Linked DNA regions of Drosophila melanogaster. The protein of the gene in region 2 interacts with the protein of the main gene of each other region in a pairwise test. Each region holds a gene or a part of one and is shown on either strand. Other genes may lie near its edges.

What was found. Proteins that work in one complex are often made in the same cells at the same time.
Region 1: the proteins of SPARC (region 2) and Hakai interact in a two-hybrid assay, tested with the Drosophila melanogaster proteins (one large-scale study listed by BioGRID).

Annotation. Positions count from the first base shown.
Region 1 is NT_033779.5:19,578,884-19,587,474, reverse strand, and holds Hakai (hakai), read left to right. Parts: upstream 1-5,000; 5' UTR 5,001-5,104; coding exon 5,105-5,468; intron 5,469-5,571; coding exon 5,572-6,119; coding exon of another isoform or gene 6,120-6,143; exon of another isoform or gene 6,144-6,189; coding exon 6,190-6,699; 3' UTR 6,700-6,863; downstream 6,864-8,591. Other genes in the region: CG10366 (uncharacterized protein), read right to left, coding at 1,249-1,492, 1,560-2,845, 2,923-3,129; PCNA2 (proliferating cell nuclear antigen 2), read left to right, coding at 3,548-3,655, 3,790-4,449; Pmvk (phosphomevalonate kinase), read left to right, coding at 7,345-7,418, 7,522-8,017; msb1l, read right to left, coding at 8,467-8,591.
Region 2 is NT_033777.3:26,870,338-26,881,325, reverse strand, and holds the start of SPARC (secreted protein, acidic, cysteine-rich), read left to right. Parts: upstream 1-9,330; 5' UTR 9,331-9,400; intron 9,401-10,758; exon of another isoform or gene 10,759-10,816; intron 10,817-10,953; 5' UTR 10,954-10,971; coding exon 10,972-10,988. Other genes in the region: CG5500 (uncharacterized protein), read right to left, coding at 981-1,241, 1,490-1,732; ro (rough), read left to right, coding at 221-761, 3,550-3,784, 4,157-4,433; ms(3)K81 (male sterile (3) K81), read right to left, coding at 4,816-5,370; Rb97D (ribonuclear protein at 97D), read left to right, coding at 5,714-5,782, 5,923-6,152, 6,225-6,469, 6,536-7,255, 7,310-7,461.

The DNA of each region.
Region 1 (8,591 bases), on a different chromosome or scaffold from region 2:
CACACACATGCAAGTGGCGCGTAGTGTGCGTAAAAAACAAGTGGGAAAAACGCCGACAAAAAGTCTCGATATACAGGGTGCAATTCGAAAACGCTCACTTTGCTGGTACTCGGAACACCGATAGCAACACTTTGCACAACAAATACGAGCTGAGAGTGACGAAAAACAATAATTTTTTGATAATTTCGCGCAGCCAAAGCGATGTTGGTGTTGTTCTTTCGTGTGGTTCGCGAGCGAACTGATTCCGAAAATCCGAAACCAGGGATGGGGTGGCACAGAAACAGCTGTGGAGTCGCGGACCAGGGCTGCGCAGGAACTTTTAACTTACTTAAAAGTGTTACTTTTCGTAACGTTAACAATTTGTTTAAGATCATTTTTTTTTACTTACACTTCGTATTTTTGATTTGATCTTTTGTTAGGTTCTTGTGTCAGCTGCTTTGCCTGCTCTTTTGATTTTCGCACCCACTCTCAACTAATTTCACTGAATATTTAATTGAAAGACTATTTTTTCGTAAAGCTTTCGGTTTTCAATCCACTTTTCACACTTCGCAGCCCAAATTTGGTTATTTGAAGTTCATCGTTCGTTTTGGGGCATTTAGTGCACTTTGTTTTTATTGGGGGATAAATCGATTTTTTTGATTTTTCGGCTCGCACGTCGGAGTAAAGGGACGCACTTCACACTTCCTTTTCCACACTTTGTTTACTGCCCAATTTGGTCATGTTGGATTCAGGGATTATTTGCTTGGGCTTTTCACACATCTCAACGGCTTTCAATTCGATTTACTGGTTTTCGGCAAAAGTTTTCATCAAGAGCAGGACACGAGAAGGCGCACGCTGTCAACTGAACTAAATTCCTTTATACCAGGACAGGATTCAAATGGGGGTGGCTTCGCTTCGCCTCAGATTCCGACTCCGGAACCCAGAGCACATGCGCCATCCACGGATGCGTTCAAATCCCACTTTCCCGCTCGCGCACTTGAGTTATTCCGGAACCATAAACAATAAAATGTACCCGAAATAGAAAGATCCTAACTCATAAGCAAAATATTTAATTTCCCGTAGAAGCTCTCTTTCTAATTACATTAGCTCATATACTTTAAATTAATTATTAAGTCGACTTACACATTCTAGTGTATGCAAAACAATCTCAACTATATCTTTAAACAGCTATAAATACACAACATACGGCGAATTTGGAAACAAAACTTCAAACTTGTGCTATTTGAAGGGGTGAACTCAAGTGGGGGGTCAGCGATAGTCGATCATGATATGGTTATAAATATTATCTAACGTGGGTATAGCCGCAGCTGGGGTATCAGCTTGGGTGGCGTTCTCCCCTCCGGGATCAGGCGCTGGTTCAGGCTGAGCATCTTGGATGACGGCGGGATTCGAAGCTGGAGTATCCTTGGTGGCTGGCCTCGGTTTTTTGCCGAAGGCGAAGCAGCCACTCTGTTTGGTGGCCACCGGCGACAGATTGTCCTTGTTCTTGGTGCTACAAACGGAATTGTAATGGAATCATTTAGAAATTGTCATTATATGTACGATTTTGGTTAACCTACAATGCCTTGAGCGCCTCCAGCTTGGGTATATTTCTGTTGTGCGACCTGCCGCCGCCCGCCGCTTCTTGAGCAGCCAGCTCCTCGGGATGCGACTTCTTCTTGTGCGTGCGGCAGTTGGAGCCGTTGGCAAAGGTGCGGTCGCAAAAATCGCAGGAGTAAGGCTTCAGTCCTGTGTGCAGGATGAGGTGATTCTTCAGCGCCTTGGCGCGCTTAAACTCCCGGCCGCAGTAGTCGCACTTGTGCTGCATCTGATCCGTGTGCACCAGTCGATGGCGATTCAAGGTGGTCCGCGAATTCAGCTGCATTCCGCATTCGGGGCAGATGTACTTGTGCGGATCATGCGTCTCCTTGTGGTGTTTCAGACGATTGGCCGACTTAAAGCACTTCTTGCACACCTCGCACTCGAAGGGGGCGTAGTCCGTGTGCTTGAGGACGTGCTCCTTGAGCGCGCTCATCGAGTGCACACCCACACCGCACTGCTCGCAAATCACCGGCCGCGGCCGCTCATCCAGGTGCATGTACTGCTCGTGCTGCTGGGCGGATGCACTGGTGGCGAACTTCTTGTCGCAACTGCTACAGGCGTACTGCTTGCGCTTGGGCAGGGGCACGTGCCATTTCATGTGCCTCTCCAGCTGGTAGTGTAGACGAAACTTCTTGGGGCAATCCGGGCATTGCAGCTGCTCGGTTGTGGGCTCAGTCTGGCCATGATCCTGGCGCAGGTGGCGCTGCAGGGTTTTGGACGTGGCGTAGCTTCGCAAGCACTCGTTGCACTGGTGTCTTTTCTCAGAGTCTGCTGCATCCTCTCCAGCTTTTTCGGTACTCGGCGAGGAGCCATCCAAGCTGCCAGCAGAAGAGTTATCCTCCTGAATGCCATACACATCGCAGAGGCTCATTAGTACACGATCTTCATTCGGTTCGTAGTCGGCATCCTGCTCATCTGGCTCCTCCGTCGGCTGATCCTGCTCCTGATCTACGCTTTCCTGCTTTTCCTCTGGCGTTAGTGGGTTTGCCAGCTCGTAAGGCGACTCCTCTGGCAGAAACTCGAGCTGTTCATCCAACTTCGGCTTCTTGTCCACATAGTGCACCTCAGTCTGCGTCTCCTCGTCCAGCAAACCAAATTTCGAGCGCAGCTCGTGGAGATTTGGCCTCTCCTGGCTGGGCGTGCTCTGCAGGATGCAGTAAAGCTTCTGCACGCGGGTAATCCGTTCCGAGAAATTCACCAGCGAGGTGACCAGCGACAGGCACTCACTGCATATCGTCTCCGGCAGCTCTTCACCTCGAGTTATCTGATGATGGGGCAAGAGAAATCAAGATAAGCTGGTTAGCTTGTGGAAATCCAAGGAGCCACGAGGAGCGCACTCACATTCACCCAGAAGTACTTGCCAATGGCGGTGGCCAGTTCCATGGAGGCTGCCTCGCCGGAATCCTCGTTCTTGAGGAACACATTCAAGTTGCCTTGCACGTCGTCCTTGGCGCACAGGCGACACCACTGTCGCCAGTCGCTGCTGGGATTTCGATCGACATGGGGAGCCGCCGGAGCAGCGTGCATCTCCACCTGCGCGGCGGCCATCGGGGAGCTCAGCAGTTGGTTATAAATAAACAAATAAATAAATAAAGCGTAAACATATTGGATTGGATGGCTGGATCCGAGCTGGAACTGGATCTCGAACTAGAACTGGAGCCGGAACCAGTGTTGCAGATGCTGCCAGATCAGTCGGATTAAGTGATTTCAATTGGATACCCTTAAATAGAAAAGGATTAACCTACAGCTTTAAGTCAAATTCTAAGATCTATGTTCACTAGCTTCATCATCAGACATCAAATGAACTTAAATCCGCAACCGAAACTAATCTAACAAGCTTTGTTCTTAACTCCGCAGCAGTCCGGCATCTCTACACTTGCAGCGAAACAGCTGACTGGCTTCATTTTGTTTGTTTCCAATTGTGAATTTAACGGGACAGCGATTGTCAATTTTGAAAATTGGAAAAATGCTCGAGGCGCGTTTGAGTCAGACTTTGCTGCTGAAGAAGATCGTCGATGCACTAAAGGAAATCATCGCCCAGGGAACGCTGGACTGCAGTGAAAATGGTCTGGAGGTGAAGAGAATAACCCTCCATCTGTCATTTTGTTTCGAATTCCCATAAAAGCTGTTAAGTAGTTCCATTGAGACTTGGGACTGAAAATGAAAAGTTGAGATAAGAAATAAAGCTTTTACAACTCTATATTCCAGCTGCAATCGATGGACAACTCCCACGTTTCGCTGGTGGCCCTAAGTCTGGCTTCGGATTGTTTTGAAAAGTTTCACTGCGATCGCAATGTCTCGCTGGGCTTGGATCTGAAATCCCTGGGCAAGGTGCTTAAGTGCGCCAATAGCGACGATGCGGTCACCATTAAGGCCGTTGACAGACCGGAGAAGATTACGCTCAGCTTCGAGTCGGATGGCAAGGAGCGCACGGCGGACTACGAGCTGAAGCTCCTCAATCTGGACCAGGATCACATGGAGATTCCGAAAAAGGACTACACCTGCTTCATCCAGTTGCCGTCGTCAGAGTTCGCGCGCATTTGCCGGGACATGAGCATGTTCGACGAGTCCCTGACGATCGCCTGCTCCTCGAAGGGCATCAGGTTCTTGGCCAAGGGAGATCTGGGCACGGCCAACATTCAGCTGAGTGCGGGCACCGCCATGGACGTGAGCATTGAGGTGCAGGAGCCCGTGACCCAGTCCTTCGCCGGTCGCTACCTCAACACCTTCACCAAGGCCACTCCGCTGGCAGATCGCGTCAAGCTCTACCTGTCCGACGAGCGGCCACTCCTGGTGGAGTATCCCATCGAGGATTACGGCCACATTCGATACTACCTTGCACCCAAGGTGAATGACCCCGATTTCTAGCTGAAGAACTACTCAACTCAGTTATTGCATAAATTCGAGCGCAATTTAAAGCATAAGGAAAGGGGATAAACGATATTTTTAGGCAACAAATACCAAAAATCATTTTTTTTAAAGCATAGTATAAAAATATAACTTGTAATAAAAACTATTTAATTGTAATTAAAAAAACATTTTACAAATTCAAATTTATATACGAAAAAACTAATTTTAAACCTTGTTATTAATTATTATTAAGTTTTTAAGGTTATCTTAATGTAGATCTCACATTTTCTATTCAGAATACTTTTGTTTTTTCATGTTGAAGCTACAAAAGAAATTAGTAAGCTATTAATATGATACAAGAACGGTTAAATAGATGCTTATAATTATTGTTTTTTTTTATGTTTTTTTTTACATTCATTAAATTCAAATTAGTTTAAAAATAATTGAAAAACAGATAAAATTAAAATTAAACAAGTAAAAATATTGTATTTTAAACTGACCAGTGATGCCGGACCTTTTGATGGCCAGTGTTGTTAGGCGCAGACTGGTCACCCTAAGTTACTGCACGTATGTGGGAACAGCTGACAACCCTGGCCAAACGCAAATGCGGAGCTAAACAAAAACCGAAAAACTTAAAAACCGGCATAAAATCCCACGCAAGTACAAGTGAACAATGGACACCGAGGAAGTGAAGCGCGGCCGCGGACGAGGGCGTGGCACCAGGGCTCGCGGGCGCGGACGTGGCCGAGGACGCGGTCGTGGCAAGAAAATCGACGACAGCAGCATCGCCGACGCCGCAGCCCTGGCGGCCAGCAGCTGTGCAGCCCTGGAGGACAGTCCGGGAAGACTGGACGCCTCCGAAGATTCGGTCATGCAGGAGCTCGACAAGGACGGCGAACTGGAAACGCCCGGCGCTCTGGAGGAGCCCCTGCCGCACGGTGCGCTAGGAGCGGTCGCCGCCAGCGGGAACATGACTCCAGCGACGCAACAGCCACAGGTCCTGCAGCAAGTGCCACCGCCCGTGATGAGCCAAACAAGTGAGTCTCCTCCCCTATTGAATGGTTGTCCAAGATAGTTAAATTGATTAACATCTTGGCTTGACCAATTCCTTGGTATCCAAACTTGAAGCATTGAACAAAGCTATCTCGCTATCTCTCGCCCGCGCAGTCGACATGGAGGCGGACATATCGCAACTGGAGGCGCCCACTTTCACCACGCTTTCGCGCGGACCGCCGGAGCCGATGCTGCGCCTTAAGTGGAACCACAAGGTGAGCCTGATCGGCGAGAAGGTGCTGAACCCGATGATCCACTGCTGCGATCAGTGCGACAAGCCGATCCTCGTCTACGGCCGCATGATACCCTGCAAGCATGTATTTTGCCTCAAGTGCGCCCGCGCCGAGCCCATCAAGAGTTGTCCCCGCTGCACGGACAAGGTGTTGCGCGTGGAGCAGAGTGGCCTGGGCACCGTGTTCATGTGCACGCACGGCGGCAGTCGCTACGGCAGCTCCGGCTGCCGTAGAACATACCTTTCGCAACGCGACCTGCAGGCGCACATCAATCACAGACATGTGGCGCCGCAGCCGCCACCGTTGCAGCCACAGCCGCAGCTGTCAGCCATGGCGGAGCAGCCAAAAATGACGGATCTGGGCGGCGTCGGTCTGGGCCTGGAGTTGCACAAGCAGCGCAAGGCGAGTGGTAGCTATGGCTCCTAAACTAAGCTGTCCTGTCTATAAAAAAACAACCGCTTGCCCCTTGCAGCTCTCCGAGTCGTCTGTCCCCATATCCGTTTCCGCCTCCATTGCGTCCCGTCCCGTCCTGTCGCGGCTGCCACTGACCGGCGGTGTCGGTAACATCGGTAGTATTGGTAGTATACCGCCACCAGGATCCGCCGCCGCCGCCCAAAACGCCATCCACGGCGGCCACTCGACGCTCACGCTGGCCAATTTGACCAGGATCAACAATGCCAATGCGCAGGAATGTCACCAGGGCAAGGCCTCGCTGCACCACACGCTCAAGAAGGGCACGCCCCACCAGTCCGAGTCGGTGGCGGATGCCTCCTACTACAGCAGCGTGCTCGCCTCCTTTGGCAGTGCGGCCGGGAATCCGGGTTCTGGGCCACCCGGCGGTGGGGCAACAGCAGCAGCACAGCCCGCCAATCCGAGTGGCAGCCATTCCGCTGTTGGCCCAGGTGCCCTGATTGGAGGCTCCACCGACGCGCCAACTGGTGGCTCGAGTGGCAACTGGCAGCAGTCGCAATACTACAGATAGGGGGACGAAAGCGAGGGGCTAGTAACCAGGGTAGACGCTTTAACGCAGGCACGCAGGCTTTTAATTAAGTGAACAAGTGTATGTTAAGCTGAACTGAACACTATTAAAGATATTTTACGGGGTTAGGCCAACCCGAACCAAAAAATAAATGCTACTCCGGTTTTAAAGCTTGGGCTAAACTTAATTCTTAATGTAGTAGTGAAGTGGTTATCGTGGCGAACAAATCAGGATAACAATTTTATGAATACCTTTGCGGTTCTCAAGCTGAACGAAATTCAAAAATCCCGCCCGATTGGCGGCCAATCGATGACGGTACGGTTTCCACTCGAGCTGAATGAAATTCAAAAAGCCCGCTCGATTGGCCGCCTATCGATGACGATACGCTCCAGCTGGTTGCTGTTCCAGCGAAATACAAAAGGTAAACAAATGCGACTTGGAGCACAGACTTCGAATGGAGCATTAGCATAAACACAACAGGCCGCAGTGCCGGAGTCAAGTGGCAGGGCCCAGGGTGAACACAACCACATCCAGTATCTGATGAGCACAGCGTAGAACTTAGGAAATCGAGGCCACAAGCAGAAGCAGCAGGAGAAGCAGCGGTTGTGAAAGAAGTTGGCGAGCAAAAGTGAAAGTTGCGCCAGAAAAATGATGAAAATTGTACTCATCAGCGGCAAGCGAAAGTGCGGCAAGGATTACATATCCGAGAGGCTGCAGCGGAGGTGGGTGCAGTGCATAGCTAGTCGTAGAAATCTTGCCAATTTGTTAAATTTGCACTGCTTGCTGCAGAAATATTCAGACAAATAAAATCCAATTCCATTCCAGATTGGGCTCCCGGTCGTGTATCGTTCGAATCTCAGAGCCCATTAAGTCGGAATGGGCTCGCAAGCTGCAGTTGGACCTGGACGCTCTCCTCGGTGATGGACCCTACAAGGAGAAGTACCGGCGCGACATGATTGTGTGGAGCGACGAGGTGCGGGCCCAGGACTACGGCTACTTCTGCCGCGTGGCCATGGAGGAGGCGCTGAGTCGCCAGCAGACGCCCTACATTCTGGTCAGCGATGTGCGGCGCAAGAACGACATCAGGTGGTTCCGGGAGACTTACGGGCCGGAACGAGTCATCACCTTGCGTCTAACATCCCGTCCAGAAACGCGGTCTGCACGGGGATGGACCTTTACCGCAGGAATAGACGATGTTCCCTCCGAGTGCGATCTGGATGATCTGGCCGACGGCTTCGACGTGGTGTTGGCCAACGACGAGGAACTCGACCAGGAGGCCATCGACATTCTGCTGGATAGGCTGCAGCTGCAGTATCGATAGAGCTTGGACCTCTCGGCTCACCATGCTTTGAACAAATGTATTTTTGATATATCACGTATTCCGGTCACAAATAGCGTAGTTAATGCAATACACTAGACAAGAATGAAGTTACGTACCTAATAGTAAATACTCTTGGTAACGAAATAGAGCTTGTGTGGCGGTTTTACTAACTTGCAACGTTTAAGACTTAATAGATTCAATGGATATACAAACTATATGTCGCTGATTATCGGTAATAGGTTACTTCAGGAATAAATAGCCCGGTTTCCAAATGTTAGAATAATACTCATGAGCAAACTGCATCCATCAATTTATGTGCACAATGTACTGGCAAGCAAACTAATAAAATGATTTATTAAAAGATGAGTAATAAAAGTATGTGTCGTGAGAAAAGACTATGATTTGGTGGGTTTTGATGGACATAAGGCAATAGTAGCTACTAAGCTGTGTTAGTAAACGGGTCCGCTGAATCCCTCTGTGCCAGAGATTATCCGCAGTTGATCGTTGAAGCTCTGCGCGGGCGGAATCTGATTCTTCTTAGAATCCTTTTCCATTGAACGGGATCGCAGATGCG
Region 2 (10,988 bases):
AGTAAGCAGCATTTTAGGCGCCCCCGCTGCTGCTGTTAATTTTCTGATGTGCCGCGTAATTTGCTTTGTTTTTTTTTTTCACCCAGTTCCTCTGCCGACGTCGACGTCAGGATAAGCGTCGCTTGACCAGCGGAAGTAGAATTATTTGTGGCACTTCAGTCGCTCGCCGATTACCCAAGTGATTAGTTTGGACAGCTAACGCGGCACATCCTCAAACGAAATGCAACGTCACAAAGTTGAGATTGGCTCACCCGACGGCTCGCCGGGCATCAAAAGGAGTGACAGCTTAGATCCCATAGCGAACACTACGATTCTATCCGTGCCGCAACGTCCCTCGTCGCCGCGACAGTTTTTCGAACGTCTGTACGGGCATTTGGAAACGCGCTCCTCGGAAAATGGGGAAATCGACGTCGGAACACACGCCCACAAGCCGCCGCCCTGTGACACGCCCTATCACAGCGATGGAGGAAGCGTCTCCTCGCCAGACATTTCCATCAGCGATGAACGCACCTCGCTAGCCGCATATCCCGCCTACGATTTCTATGGTCACGCCAAGGACTATCCGCAGCATCCTAGCCAGCAGCACCAGCAGCATCATCATCATCACCATCATCCGCCGCAGCTGGTGCACCAGAAACTCAGCTACGTGAGCCCGCCGCCAGCAATTGCCGCCGGTGGAGCTGCGAATCCTGTCCTGCCACACGCATTCCCAGCCGGCTTCCCAAGTGACCCGCACTTCAGCGCCGGCTTTTCCGCATTTCGTGAGTACTTACATTTAAAAAAGAATGGTTTCTAACAATGTGTAGAATATTTGCAAAGCTATGCAGAATCTTTAGAACTACGAAAATAACTTCTTCAGAACCTTAACTCTTACATGTTTATTTTGAGGTTTCTTAGTTCTTACACACTAAGTACAAGAGTAAATTTGAGCTACTACGAATTTGGTCCTAACTAGATATTTAGGTGAGCGGGGATTTGTACTACGGCGGGGGCGAGGATTTCTTTGGCTTTCCCTGCTTCGCTGCTTTCTCCGCCGCCGCCTTCTCCTCCCGCTGCTTAGCCATCTGGCGCAGCTCCAGGCTGAGGAACATCTTCAGGTTCGGGTCGGTGATCTTGCTCAGCACAATCTCTCGCGCCTCCTCATCGTTGTCGCCCAGCAGCTTGGCCAGCGTCTGTGCGTAGTCCAGCCAAACGCAGTTGGCGCAGCCCGACATGCAGCAGGTGGTGGGCTCGGGAGGTATCTGCAAACGATTATATAATATGCAATCTCTTGAGCCACTTTCCTCTTAGGATAGAAAGTTATTTCAGTATTGTGATAACAATTGGATCCTTCGATAATACTGCTCAATAGTTTTAGAAGTTCATAGAACTACACTAAGTTTTGTGTTACAATACTAGATCGATGATCCTTTCTTTCTAATGAACTACAATCTTACCAACTGATATTTAACCTATAATAGCAATGATAACAACTAGCTTACAACATTACCTCTATGTTTCTGAGCCGCTTCCTTCCCTTGGTGGTTTTATCTTTGGCTTTGGGAGTGTCAGTGCCCGTCGTTGTGCTATTGGGCGGACAGCCACTTGCTGCCTCCTGGGCGGCCGCATCCTTGCTGCTGGCATCATCCTGGGAGCTGCTGCCCGACAATTGGCGGGCCAGTGAGGCCCAACGCTCGGCGCCACGTCGCAGGAGCAAGCATCGCGGACAGCTGAAGCCCAGGGGAGCCAACATTTCCGCCCGATCCCCGAAAGAGTTCGAAAGTTACGATTGAAAAGGCCCAGAGGAAGTGATGAGCATTTCACACGCCTGCGCAGGTGCAGCCCAGATGAACTTGGTTCCGCAGGAACTGCAAAAAAAAAAAGTCGGATACGCAAAAAAAAACTGATTAATCGTCAGTGCTGCAATATTGAATATCCCCCACATCTTCGCACCGAGTGCGCTGGCCAGGATTATGTAAAATCAGTTGGAAAAAAATAAACGAAACTAAGGTGGGGCAACCAAGCAATGCCACACAATGAGCTGCTGCTGCTGCTGCTGCTGCTGACCCCCAAATGCAAAGAAATTAGCCAAGGAAAAAAAATAACCGAATGCCAAGAAAAAATTAAAACGCATTGAGCCGTGAAAGTTTTCGTTTACTTGCGGCTTTTTCGTTTGCTCCTGATGAGGTGGCCAAGGTGGCCAGGTGCGGAGATGAGGTTGAGGGGATATTGAAACATGGAAATGCGTCGGCTAATGAAAATGATCGCAGGTTAAGGGTGAATGGGTTAGCCATTCGTAAGCAAGAAATCAAAGTTAAAGACACTTTGAAACCTTTTCTACGAGCAGAAACGTATTCTACATATGCAAGCATTTTTTAGATTCAGAACAGTTGATATATTTAATGCTAAACCAGCTTGGTAGTTACTATAAGTACTTGATCTTTAAATTAACTAACTTACAAGCCAAACTTTTGGTCAATCTCAAAAAAATAACAAGTGTCTGAAAAAATTAGCATTGTAATTGAGCTCGGCAGGAAACCTAAAAAAGCAAACACAAACAGCAAGCGAGGAGGGTTAAGCGAGGAAGACTCATTTTTAGCCACAACAAACCGTCCGAAAGGACACTTGGCTATCGAATTACACACGTGATTTAAAAAAAAAAAAAAACCTTCGGCAAGGATCAGGGAAGAGCTTAAGCCCCTCCAGAGCCATCCGGACTAGGGGTAATCAAGCAAAAGCTAGAGATTACAACGCCCACAAAGCAACCCCTTCCCGGGGAAACCCCCCCTCCCCCCCCCCCACCATCCTAACACCACCGAGCAACTTGTCAGCTTCGCCTTGTTACATCAATTAGACTCTAAACCGCAACATTCACCATGGTGTGGGTGTTTGTGGTGGGTGTTCCTGGGTGGCAGGTGCTCGTTGTTGCAGGATGAAGTGGGGCATAATGTGCGCTTGGTTGAGCTTCATCGTCGGCGACACTGCGAATGCAAACAATCAAACGACAGAATGGAAAACTCGAAAGAGCGGATGATGCCGAGAATTTCGACGAGGATGATGATGATGATGATGGCCAGCCAGCTGTTGGCATTGTTATAACTTTCCCGGATCAGCATAGATTGCCGAAATGAAAAGCGTGGTAAAAAAAAAAACATAGAGAACAGAAACTACGTGGTAAATGCACTTTTAATGTGCACCACAAACGCGACCGACGACGAATTCTGGCAGGTGGGCGGGCGGAGAGAGCAAGAGAGGGAGGACGACGGATGGACCACGGATCGGAGTGGTTAATTATTTGTTTAACTGACGCAGCGACACGCAACCACATTCGAAAACGTTTAGTCCCGCTCATAACTTGATGGTTTGTTAATGTAAGATTAATTTCGCTCTAACATCTCCATTGTGTTGGACATAAACGAAAGTGGGTGGGCTGTGAAAAAATGATGCTATCCGACGGATGTCGTTATTGTACACACTGAATGGTGCGGGGTTTACATAACTAATAAGCTGATTCCAACTAGATATTATACACGTATTAATTGTAAGGATATCAATGTATTTGACTTTCAGTGGCTCGCAGGCGACGCAAGGAGGGAAGACAACGCCGCCAGAGGACCACTTTCAGCACAGAGCAGACGCTTCGCCTGGAGGTGGAGTTCCATCGGAACGAGTACATCTCCAGGAGTCGTCGCTTCGAGCTGGCCGAAACGCTGCGCCTGACCGAAACGCAAATCAAGATCTGGTTCCAGAATCGCAGGGCCAAGGACAAACGCATTGAAAAGGCTCAGATCGATCAGCACTACAGGTGGGTTTCCCCTTTAGCTAATTTGAATCGTTTTTTCTGTTTCATATGTACAAAGATATCATCGATTTTGATTGAGTTAAATAATATTAAATGAACATAAATTAATGGTTGATGAATAGCTCGTGAAGAGGATTTTAACTGGGTATTTATACCTGCATTTTCGAAACGGAAGTAATTTAGTGAAATGTCACTAGTTTAATTGATGGCCAACATGAAATTAACACGAAATTAATTTTACGACATTTATGCGCACACAGACCCAATTAGACGATATCATTTTTTTCCATATTTTTTTTTTTTTTTTTTTTTTTTTTTTGTGCCGGAGGGGGTTGCTCGAAATTATTTTGTACATTGATGTAATCAATTTTTCAGAAACTTTGTCGTGGCCAATGGTTTTATGAGCTCTATAATGGGTCAGGCTGCCACGACCATGCCCCCCGGAGGCGTCACTGGGGGCGTGGCGGTGGGCGTGGGCCTAAACTACTATGCCGCGGCAGCGACGCCGGCAGCGCTGCCCAAGGATAACACGCAGGATGCCAATTTCATCGACATCGATGACCAGTTCCAGCGCCAGCAACAACAAAAACAACAACAACAGCAGCAGCAGCAGCGACGTCGAGAAACAACAACGCCTATTAACATTTGCTAATACTTGCTAATTGATTACATTTATTTGAGCTTTAAACTGTTTAGATTAAGATCGAATAAAAGTCATTGTGAAAACATAACAGATTGCAGGAATTGCACTTTTCGAAGAAATCACTCACTGCTTGCCAACAAACTTACGTGTGTTGTTATGGACTCAGCATTTTGCACTTGATTTATTTATATAAGAGAGGGTTTTTGAGGGAAAACCAGGAAATTTGTTAAAAACCAAACAGCAAAACTAACAAACAATAATGCAGCCCTGGTGCTCAGCCAGCTGTTTCTGCTGCTAATAACATGGCGGAAACTATCGATAGATGGTTACATAGATGGTAACAGTGTTATTTCAAATTTAATTTATGAAAATATCCTAAATGAAACAAACATTATCCCCCAGTAGTTCCCGCCAGATAAATGGCCATAGCTTCACGATTTAGATGCACAAACTGGCGCCTTTTCGGAATTGGTTGGACATTCGGTAGCCGCGTTCCATTCACGGCATTCAAACTCAGATTCGAGCTGGGATCGTAGTCATCGGAGAAAAGTGTATCGTCGGAAGAATTGGACTCAACCAACTGGCTTCCTGCTCTTTGAGCCGCCGCCGCCGGCGCTGCGCTAGTGGTTGATTCTTGCTCCTCCGAGGATTGTGTTGTGGACACACTAGCCGCGGACTCATGAGATTTCTCACTACTGCTCCTCGAGAGAATAGCACTGGCTGCCTGTCTATTTGCCAGGTGTCTCTTCGCATTGTTGTTCTTCAGCCGGTAGAGCTGGATCAGTTGCGTGTAGCACGAGAGGCACAGTGGCTGAGACCGCAGCTCCGAGTTTATCAGCTGGCCAAACTTCAGCAGGTGCGGATTTCTGATTACGCGGTACGGGGACCTCAGCGTGTGATTCCCCAGACCGCACAAGCGGTGCTCCTCATGGGGCGAATCCGACATTAGAACTTAAGTTGAATACTCAATTGAATGCATAAAGGGGCTAGTATACGTTGGCGGTTTTCGCTTTGCTTCTGAAAAACTATATTACAATTTGACAGCTATCGCATATCCAATTCGTGTATGTATTTATTATTACGATAGTAAAGAAACTTGGCACTTTAGAAATTTCAAGAATACCCCTAACCAACTTATCGATAACAAACAGAGAGAGTGGGTGTATCGAATCAATGATTCGCTTCCTGACAGCACAATTTTCACTTCGCTTCAACCGTTCGACGTGCAAACTGGTCGTTTTCGTTTCTTAATTTCGGTTAAATTTAGTGATAATTAATTTGCTAACACAATGGTGAAGGATGAGCCCCTATCGGACGAGTCCGCCGATGTGATTGTGCTTGCAGATCGCGAGGAAGATGTAAGTACATACGCGTACCTTTCTGTGCATGTATGCGGCTTGGCAAGTGACGCACCTATATTTGTTTCCCTTCACACATACCACCCTTCACCACATGCCAACCCACTTGGCTAACCCACTTACCACCTCTGCACCGGTAGGACATATGCGAGCTGGAGCACTTGCGTAAGCTCTTCATCGGCGGGCTGGCCCCGTACACCACCGAGGAGAACCTGAAGTTGTTCTACGGCCAGTGGGGCAAGGTGGTCGATGTTGTGGTGATGCGCGATGCTGCCACCAAGAGATCTCGCGGCTTCGGCTTCATCACCTACACAAAGTCTCTCATGGTCGACAGGGCCCAGGAGAACCGTCCGCACATCATCGACGGCAAGTGAGTATAGACTTGGTGGGGGATCATATCGTACCAAGAATAGATCTATACCATGAGGCCTTTCGCTTCCAGAACTGTGGAAGCCAAGCGTGCTCTGCCCCGTCCCGAACGCGAATCGCGCGAGACCAATATATCCGTGAAGAAGCTGTTCGTAGGCGGTCTTAAGGATAACCACGATGAGGAATGCCTTCGTGAATACTTCCTCCAATTCGGGAATGTAGTCTCCGTTAAATTGCTTACTGACAAAACCACTGGCAAGCGTCGCGGCTTCGCCTTCGTCGAGTTCGACGACTACGATGCAGTGGATAAGGCTATCCGTAAGCATAAAAGCTAAAATGCTAAATATTAGATTGATATTAATTATGAACCTTCATCCCGTTTAGTTAAAAAGCAACATGCGATTAAGTACGTTCACGTGGACGTCAAGAAGTCCATTTATAACCTGGACAAGAAGGAGAAACAGCAGCCAGGTGGGCTGGCCAACGCCATCAAGCCGTCGCTCAATCAGCAGCAGCAACAGCAGGGTGGCGGACAGCAGCCACCTAATGGCAATATGCAGGCACCTAGCTTTCGACCACCAGTGCCGCCACAACAGGCCATGGGCCCCTACCAACAACAGCCACCACCGGCGCCTATGTCTGCTCCACCACCAAACTTCAACTACTGGGGACCACCTCCGCCGGCTATGCCGCCCTACTACCAGCAGCCACCGCCGCAGCAGATGAACGGCTGGGGTCCATATCCGCCGCCGCAACAAAATGGCTGGAATGCACCACCACCGCCACCACCGGGTGCCCAGCAGTGGCACGCCAACCAGTGGGGTTGTCCTCCACCAGTGCAACAGGTGCCGCCGGTTGGAGCAGTGCCACCACCCATGGGTCACAATGGACCACCGCCGACGGCTCCAGGTAACTGGAACATGCCGCCCCCAGTGCCGGGTGCAGCTCCTCCATCCCACCAGCAGCAGTCTTCGCAACAGCCAACACCACAACCAAATTTCGGCACTGGCTATCAGCAAAACTACGGAGGCGGACCATCCAAGCACAACAATATGAATGCAAACCGCATGAATCCTTACTCGGCAGGTCCGCCCAACAGCTACCGTAGGTATAATCCATTATTAAAGACATGTAATTTTGAACAGCTACTAATTGTAGACACTCCTCAACCACCAGCATATACGGGCTACAACGCTGGACCACTGCCGCCTAATGGAAGCGTTCCGCCGCCAACTGGGGCCAAGGCTGTTGGCGTATCCAATGGCTCCGTGGCCACTGGAGGCAGTGCCAACAGCAAATATCGCCGCTAGATTGGGTGAGTAGCCGTACCCGCCATTAGTCGTTTCTTTTGAATGTGGTCTATGCATAAGAGCTACCTCAAATACGTCTTGCCACGAATATATCCATATACGCATATATTACTCGCCATTGATGCACTACGTCTGAAGTACTTGTTTATGTGTAATTACTAATGTCTAAAATTCTCTTTGATTTAGATGCTCTTTGGGCGGCTAAAGCTCAAGAATCAAGACACTCTTTAGTAAGCTCGTTCATAAGCTAGGCCACACTCGCTTAGAGTTACTAAGCAGGAAACTTAACGCATTGTCTCTCTATCATAGGACAACTAACTACGATTTTACTGTACACTTAAGCTATACCATTGATTACCCTACGATTGACCTAAGCTATGGCAGACTATATATAACTATTTTATACAACGTATTGCGAGGAGCGAGCACTTCTCCAGTTCGAATTACTCTAGACATAATTATGAAACTCTGTATCGTAGAAGAATGCCCAAAATACGATACGAAATTACAACAGGCTCTCTATTTAAATCTAAACCTCTCTCTCTATCTGTAAAACAAGAAGAAGGATTGTGCAATGGTGGAGGATGGAAGAACAATTGCCAATCAAGATCAATTAATTAGACATAAATCACGGAGCTGTAGCCTGAGCTTATTGGCCCAAAACAAGTAGTTTAATCGTAGATGCCTATGTATTACCTAAACCATTCAAATAAGAAGATACGTCCAAACAAAAAAAACACAAGAAACAAGAAACAAGAATATAAGAATCCGGAGCGAAGTCGGATCCCAAATCAAATCAAATCATACGCAGGGCTGGCGGGCGTGGCCTTAACTATTAATGTACACAAGAGATGATATCAAAACAAATGTCAATTTTTACAAGAAGCAAGAATCGGACACTTATATACTGTATTAATGTTAAAGGTTTCTTATCTCGTCGCCCACGATGTTAATTCATATACTACATATATCTCTTCTTATTTGTATATCATGACGAACTCAAAGAAGTGTATATACCCGAAAAAAATGCGAAGAAAATGTATATGCTTTCGGATTAACTAGACTTACGATTTATTCTCGACTCTCTCCTATTATTAAGCTGTTGTGCACGCCAAGGGCTTTGAATTGATCTTTATATATAATGCAGTACTGAAATAAGAGAGGTCTAGTCCACAATTTGCAAGATTCGTTATGCTGCATTATCGAGATACAATTTATCACTTAACCGAACTCTATGAAAACCCATACGCATATTTATTTTAAATAAATACAAATTAAAAACAACACTATGTATTTGTTTTAGCTGACGATATGTAAGTCTCTTTCTCTTTAGCGATAGCATAAACTATATTTAGTTACCGTTATGCCATTCTAGATACAAACAAATATCGCTCTAATTTTAAACATACTCTACTCTACAAAATACTCTTGAGACAAAGTTAATTCGTAAGGTAAGTTAGTAACGGATCTCATCTAGGATAAACTAGAGTTTTTATAAGTGCTCTTAAGTTTCTAACTTATGTGTATCTTGTTATCGAATCTTTATTACGCTTTTCTAAGCAAACAACCTATTTCTTTTCCAAAAAAAAAATAAACCCCCGGAGCAACGCTGGAGTGGCCTATTTCAAAAGACCAAGGCTCAAGTTTCCCATAAACTATGAGGTACGTAGAAGAGGACACGATTTATTTTATGTGTTGAAAAGCAAGAAACCAATAAAAAAGAGCTGCCAAAATCGAAGCAATCAGTGTTTTTATTCCAAGCGAACATGTTGGGAGCCAACACGTTGGAGGCGACACCAAAACCATGGGCAGGCAGTGCTCCATGCTCCACTTTGGCGATCCGTAATCATTCCGAAGCTTTTCCACAGGCAAACAGTCGCCTGCCATCCGCCAACGCGATTAGACATTTGAAGGGAAACACTTTTTCATTGAACGCACAGTGAGTACTCACGCAGAGTGAAACAAAGGATTGAGTGTCGTAATCGGATTAACAAAACAAGTGTGTGACATATGCAGATACAGATACTTTGCTTGTTCCTCAAATTTCTGCAAGCTCAGCTCTGGCTCGAGTTGCTCAAGTTCAATGTTCCTTGCTCATTGGCAAATAGTCAATCAATTGGACTTTATTTTCGATGAAATCAGTTCGTTAATTGGTCAGAACTGAGAAGCAAAAGTAAGTCCAGTGATTTGCAAGGTCAACTGTGAATTGCACTTCCGCCAATTCAAGTAGATTGTATCTGCTTTTGGTCCACTTTCATTCGCGATGCATAAACATTGCATCTTGGACACTGCATCACGTCATTGTTTCTAGTTTCGTCGGCATAATTAAACAAACACATGTGGAAGTATATATTGCATTGTATACATAGATATATATGTGTGCAACATGTGGAATGCACTGCAGCAGCATCCCACTCTCGGATATTCCTGGAAGCTCCATTCCGCGAGATCGCGTATACATTTCTCAATTGCCAGATACATAGCTGCGCATTTGACTTGATGTTCAGCGGCACAAAAGCGACGATTAAGCACATCTTGCTTGTGCTACCCAAAACGGAAGCGACCGACCGATCCTGATAAGCGGCGGTGGGGCCAAGTCGGGCTGGAACCTGATAAGCCAACTGTGTCGTTGGGCAACCAATGATGTGCCATATATGCCATATAGCACATGTACTAAGATTGAGCATAGAACTGGGGCGACATCTTGAAATGATTACGAAAATTCGGCTTGAGTTTAGCCTGTGTGTGTGTTTAGCAATAGGATTAAGGTCAGCTTTAATCAGGTATATTCGCATTAATGGGAGCATCTGCATATATAGATGATTTCATAAACGATTTGAACTGCTCAACATGTGTTCAACATGCCCCAAATTCTGAAATATTCAAACATATTTCAAATTTGCGGTTGCAAAAAGCGAGAAAAATGCTTATTTGCAGCAGGCAGCAGGAAATGAAAAGCAAACATTGAAAATTCTGAGATTTTATCCATTCCCCCGACTTTGTTTCTATTTTAAAAACTCCAGATCTGCAGTAGTCATCTTCCGCCATCAATGAGTTGGCTTTGTTGTTCCACAAGATCTAAAGATCCATAAATAAAATTGCCCATAAAAGGAAATGCATCTGTATCTGCGCGCCACATTCGCGTTGACCTTTTGAACCCTGCAAGATTTTTGCGGCTTCTTCAATTGTTTTCAATGAGCAAAAAGACGCCGCACGAGATGTGCATGTAAAACCACCCCGTTGTTTGGTGGTTACAAGATCGCCAGTGGAGTACAGTAACGACGCAGCGCACACGGTACAGTCGCAAACCAATCCTTGAAACGGAAGTTGGGCCAGGGCCACAGCTAATCTCAATGTAATTTGGGTTTTCACAATCGCAATGACTTGATAATGTACTCTATTTATAAAGGCACTTTTAGTTCCAAATATATAGTTTAAATATAAAGAGAAGAAAAAGGTGTTTTAAAGATGCTTTACTTGCAATCCCTGTAGTTGAGATCGCCATTCGAGATGCGCTCCCTTTGGCT